Linked DNA regions of Yarrowia lipolytica. The protein of the gene in region 1 interacts with the protein of each later gene in a pairwise test. Links are inferred from orthologs where the notes say so. Each region holds a gene or a part of one and is shown in the gene's direction. Other genes may lie near its edges. The genes, in order: YALI1_F22219g and YALI1_F04238g.

Region 1 (3,095 bases):
ATTGGGCAGAATGTGTACTCTGGTTCCAACAAGGAATACTTTGATTGTCATCCCAACGGTGAGGACGGTCCTGCTGAGCCTGAAACTTTCGACGGTCCTCTCCACGAAATTCAGCGATACGACTACGTGTCTGCTCAGGAACTTCGAGCTGCTGAGAAGCGTGCTGACGAGGAAACCCGCGCTATTGCTGTTGTTGGAGACGGGGATGACGACGAGCATGACGACGAGGAAGTGGAGGAAGATGACTTTCAGGATGCTCACTTTGAGCCTGTTCATGCTCACACAGAGTCTATTCAGCCCCATGTGGCTTCCAGTGGGGTCGATGGTCATGCACCAACCCCCAACGAGCTCAGCACTGCAGCCATGGCCGCTACTGCTGTTGTGGGCGCTTCCATGGCCGGTACTGGTGTTGCTTCGGCCCTTGGCAAGTCGTACGCCTCTCCTGCCATTGCTTCCCCTGCTCTGGACTCTTCTGCCACTTCAATGTCTTCTCCTGGTGCCTTTCATCCCCAGGAGTCTTTCGATCCTCAGGCCACTTTTGAGCTTCCCAGTGCACTTCGGGAAGTTGTGAGCCAGTCGCCTGACATTTCTCATGTGTCAAACATGTCTGAGAACCAGGATGATACTACGGAGCTCACTCAGATGAGCGACGATGGCAATGTCAAGCCCCGAGGTGTTGATTCACCCAAGTCTCGAGAAGACTACGACACTCTTCTTGGCGGCGAGGATCACGAGGGTCACCACTACGACAATCACAGCACTCCACTGACCCATTCTGTCACTTCTGTGCAGGATGCGCCTCAGCCTCGCGAGTCTCTCACCAGTGAAATCAGTGAGATTGATGATGGGCATGTTCCCCCCGTCAAAGTGGCTCAACATCAGTTTGAGGGCCACTCTGAGGAGATCGAGAGTGGTGAGGACGGCAGTGAGCTGGAGAGCAGCGAAGAGGAGGACAGTGACGAAGAGGATGATGAGGACGAGTCAGAGTCCGAGTCCGAGGACGAGCAGATCATTGCTGCGGATCTGGGCATTTATCTGCCCAAGGCCGTCAAATTCGATGGTGAAGATCCCGACAACACCGTGGAGGATCTGCAATATTACCTTGAGGAGCAGTGTGTAGAAGTCATCGAGGCTATTCAGAATCTGCTGACGGCCATCAAGGGCAATTCCAACATGATTGCCATCTCCGCTCACTCTCGAGCCATTTGCAAGGTTGTGCTATGCATGGTGGATGCCACTTCTCAGTCCATGGCCCAGACTCGAAACCATCTGCTTAAGGAGAATGGCACTTGGATTTGCCAGGATCTGCGGGCCTGCACGGATAGAATGAAGATGATCTTCAAGGACGACAAGTTCGTTAAGCCCGGAGCCGAGTACCCTCCCAAGCAGTTCAAGCAGCGGCTTGCTGGTCTTTCGTTTGATCTTACCAAGTGTACCAAGGAGTTGGTCAAGACAGTCGAGGAGGTTTCCCTTCAGACGGAAATCGGCGAGATTGACCGTCAGATTGCACATAATTAAAAGTATTTATTGTATTTGTATAGTCTGAGTTGCAATAATGAAATCTTGTAGTTCTGAGTCTGACTGGGTTGTGCTGGGTTCGTTGCATGCACCTTACACAAGTTCCTGCATGGAGGCTAAATATTTCTTCACGACATGTCACTGAAACGAAACACAGAAACAGAAGTCGAGGAGGGCGTCAAGGTGGCCAAAATCGAATCCAGCACGGAAGAAACGGCCAAAAACTTTTTTCTCCAATTCAAGACACGCCTCGACATCTCTCAGGATGAGCGGTCTCAGGTCATCAACATTTCGCGAGACGTGACGGCAGCCAGCAAGAAAATCATTTTTGCACTTCACAGGGTCAAAAAGAATGGCCAGGAGCCGCTCTCATTGGCTCCAGACGTACAGGCGACCCTGACGTCTCAGTACAAGCTGATTGCTGCCAAGTTCGCCGAGATCAACAGTTTAGTTGGCAACAGCACAAACGCGTACTGGAAATACTCTCGGCAGGTGTCTGGAGCTTCGGAGGAGATGATTGAAGCCATGTCTTTCCAGTTCTGGCTTGAAAGGGGCCAGATCATGACCATGGAAGAGCTGCATGAGATCATCAAACAACACAACATTGATGTATATGTCCATCCTAGAGACTACATTTCTGGTCTGTTTGATCTGACCGGTGAGCTAATGAGATACGGAACTCTGAACAAAGCACATGGATTGCCAATTGTGGCGTTACTGCGGGAGTTCGAGTACTCTGTCTTCGTGCTCACAGGTGATCCAAACCTGGTCAAGAAGATAGAGGTGTTCCAGCAGAGTCTGGCTAAGCTGGAGAGACTCTTGTACGATCAGAGCTTGCAGGTTAGTGAAGTTGTCTGAAGAGAAAAGATGAATTATGATAGAGACGGTATCGAAGGTACTCGAGGATGTTTATAGCATTTTGAATATAACAATGGCATGTTTACGGAGATTGACTACTGGTGGCCACAGTACTGAATGAGCACGATGAGTAGTTGTACAGCAATGAATATCCATTTCAGATACAAACAGCTACTTTACTCACACAGATCTTCATATAAATGTCAGGACCAACTTCCCAGTTTAATACTGCTCCTTCTTCTTTCCATATATAGTAATTTATCTCCAATTGAACTAGGTGGGAGAATCTACTATAAGTACAAATATAAGTACATACTGTACCTACGATAGTGTCTACGATAGTATTGATAGTATATGACCTGGTTAATCAGAGGAACATAGCCATCACTATTCCTCAATACCACTGTGTTCAATTCCGGCCATATATAAACGTCTCAACGCTGTCCTCATTTACACTGGTACACTACACCTTGTCGTGCACAGTTGTATCGCTATTTAACTACAGTCCGAACTTCGCTTTGTTAGATTATTACCTACTTATCCATGTGGAATACCTCCTCGTCTTCGTCTACTCGAATTTCCTGAACCTCTGTCTGTGTACATTCGTCAAACTGCTGAAACTCCCCACATCGAGCCTGGTGGTACCTCGAGACGAAAATGTCCTGGTTCCACACAAACCCCTGCGACTTTTTCAGCGCCATAGTCACGTGACAGATTCC
Region 2 (3,152 bases), about 1.8 Mb from region 1:
AAGCTGTCGTGCGGTCACGTGCTCCACAACGGCTGTTTGAAGCACTGGCTCGAGAGGTCCAAGCTCTGTCCTACATGCCGACGAAACGTCTTCACTGCTCCAGAGGTGGTGGCCACCACTACCGTGGCCCAGGTTACACAAGTCACAGTTCCCGTGGCTCCGCAGGTTGCAGATCACCCCGCGTGGGTGGAGCAGGCTGTGCAGTCACAAAGCAGCTCTACCTCTGAGTCGTCATCAAACGACGCTCATGCCCACCACAAGCTCAAGCTCCGACAAAGTGCCATTGAGGCGGGTGTGCATGACTCGTGGGAAGTCTTTCCGACCCGGCGAAACAACAAAAACCAGGTGGAGCTGTGTTTGGGAGAGGGAAGATGGGCCGTTCTTGAAACTGTCTATTAGTATATAGTATTTATTGAGTGAGTGTTTGAGAGCGGAGCTCTACAACACGTTCAGCACGGATCCAGTAGTTATAAAATGATAAAACTGCTCAGATTTCTTTGATAGTGACAAGAGTCACAAGTACACGTGATCAAGTGGCGTTTAAGTGTTTTTATGGTCATTGTTGTATGTAGCGAGTAGGACCAAGACCGTTATTTCACTGTAGCATCTGCCGAACATTGATATTCACCCTCTTTGTGTCCAGCCAGTCCTGGTACGGACTATTCAAATCGGGAGAAGTGTTTGAAAACACCTTTCCAATGCCATGGTACGCATGTCTCGACTTGCCGCCCATAACAATGACATCTCCAGACCTCAGCATGAGACAGAGAGGAGGAGCCAGACTGTTTTCGCTGTCATCGTATCGGTTGAGACCCACGTAAAAAATTGCGTCCAAGCCTATTGACACACTGACCAGGTCGTCTTGAGACAGTTCAGCTACGTCTTGGTGAGGAGAGAGAATGTCTCCGGGACTGTAGAAGTTGATGATAGCAGCTTCGGGGTTTATAGAGAACAAAGGACGGCTCAGAAGCTCGTAGAGGTTCTTGGGAAAATATGGGAACCCTTCTGTGCCGGGAATAAAGCTCGGGTACGCTTTTGTAGTCCAGTTGTACTGTCCTCCGAGGGTGACCCATCGTAACTGTTTGTTCTTGATCTTGTCTCTTGATGTGGGCTTTCCTCCTTCTCTATGTAGTATTTTGGCGTGAGGATTTTCGTTGTTGAATAGGTTGAAAGGCCGCGGAATGTCGTAGAACAAGTCCAGGTTATTGAGATGTTCTTTTGGTGGTAGGTACTGCTCGATAGTCTCTGTCACCAGGCGTGACTGGACTGCTGGAGGCATCAGGTTGGGGTATATGAGTAGCCCTGGAAGTTCTTCGACTGTGTAGTAATGTTTGGGTGGAGCGAAGTCAACTTGCGTCTGTGCAAAGGTCTCGAATCTGTTTTTTAGACCCACTGATTCGGCATCAAACTGCTCTTGTTGTATCGTGTAGTGTGGAGATGAGTATGATTTGTAGGATGAAAACACGTCTGGGCTGTGTAGTGCGTCTTCATGGCTGATGTGTCGGTGTGATTTGTAGTATGGTCTAAAGAGATCGTTTGCTGGCGCTGGCGACGGGGATAGCGACGGCCGTGGTGTTTCCAGGGTCATTCTAGTGTTTGTACTAGCTCGAGATAATCATCCGACTTCTTCTACTCCACCACCTGCATGAATGGTGCACTTTATTTTTCACTGCATGATATCTGGAAGTATTATCTAAAAGTTTGGATCGATCCTTTCAAACTCAACATATCACCATGGACTGGCTCAGTGAAGTGCAAAAGCTCAACGACCAGAACTCGCAGAACGTCACCCGGCTGAACGAAGAGATCGACAAGCTAGATCTGACGCTCAAGAAGGCTCAGATTGTAGTAGGACGAGCTCACACTGTGGCCCCCACCAAGTTTTATCTCCAGCCTCTGCTTGAAGACCCCATCTACGCAGAGATTGCAGAAAAGTGTCAGGAGCTGGCGACTACCGCGTCTCAATGGCAGTTTTACAGATACAACAACATGTACGGCGGCTGTTTCCAGCGGGCTGTGTTTGTGACTCTGCTACGACACTTTCTGGCCAACTGGGTGGACACTGACATGGCTATTGTGGTCTCCAACCCCTCCAATTGGCAGTCACTGGTGGCCGCCACCCCCCTAGGACCTGATCTAGTGTCCAAGCAGCTTGGAGTGCCGTTTTTGACCGAGCTGGAGGCTGGAAATGAAAACACGTGCCATCTGACCGACTACGACTACCTGCTGGGTATCGTGACCATGATCAACGAGCTTTCTCGACTTGCATTCAACTCCGTTACGGCCATTGCCTCGTATAACGAGAGCCACGACACCAAGTTGCCATTTGTGTTCCCTCAGTACCTTCTTGCATTCATTAAGAACACTCATGCTGGCCTCATGGTGCTGAATCTGAAGAATGATAAACTGCGAAGAAGTTATGATTCTATCAAATATGATGTGAAGAAGGTGGAGGAGATTATCTATGATTTGACCGTGAGACGGTTGGTCTAAAGACGGTTTCTCCAGGATGTGATTGCTGAAGAGCGTCTGAAAGAAAGAAGAAAAGATAACACGAGAAAACACCAACGCTACAGCCGTTTTTAGAGAGCTGACTATGAAAGACTGGTAACTAATGACTACCGTGCATATTTCAATCAATAATATCAAGAAAACCTATTGGTCTTTAGTCATACACATCTATCATAATGATAACCAGGTTATGTATATTTCTCGTACAGTGCCATATGCAACTACAGTTCAAGTACACTCATAGTGGCCCCCTTATAAAAGCTAGGAAGCTACAAGTAGTCAGATACTGGGATCTTAAAGGAGCTCTTCGAACTTGGATACTCTCCGCGAAACATCAGTATAAGAGCTCTGACCACTCGTACATGGTAGGAGATCTGTTACCCCCTAACAAGGAAAGCACACAGTAGTATCTGTTTCTAAGTAGAAGCAGCCTCCATAAAGTGTTGAAATTGAAAGGACGGGATCATCCGTATCTTAACCTGCTGCAAGTATCGTACTGTTTCGTCTCTTCTGGCGTACAGTAGCTTCCTTACAGTACAGTATGTAGCACCTGATAGGACAGAACTATCGAGAGAAAATAAGCAGCAACGTGCCACAGAATAATGAGCACACCAGGGGCCTATATACGAGTATAGTCTACT

What was found.
Region 2: the proteins of YALI1_F22219g (region 1) and YALI1_F04238g interact in a two-hybrid assay, tested with the Schizosaccharomyces pombe proteins (2 studies listed by BioGRID). The link is inferred for Yarrowia lipolytica from reciprocal best matches to the Schizosaccharomyces pombe genes tfx1 and tsn1.

What each region holds. Positions count from the first base shown.
Region 1 is NC_090775.1:2,220,495-2,223,589, reverse strand, and holds YALI1_F22219g (uncharacterized protein), read left to right. Parts: upstream 1-1,653; coding exon 1,654-2,376; downstream 2,377-3,095. Other genes in the region: YALI1_F22241g (uncharacterized protein), read left to right, coding at 1-1,518.
Region 2 is NC_090775.1:422,112-425,263, forward strand, and holds YALI1_F04238g (uncharacterized protein), read left to right. Parts: upstream 1-1,734; coding exon 1,735-2,493; downstream 2,494-3,152. Other genes in the region: YALI1_F04211g (uncharacterized protein), read left to right, coding at 1-399; YALI1_F04236g (uncharacterized protein), read right to left, coding at 596-1,588. UniProt on the Schizosaccharomyces pombe protein: DNA-binding protein that specifically recognizes consensus sequences at the breakpoint junctions in chromosomal translocations. Selectively binds single-stranded d(GT)n and d(GTT)n microsatellite repeats.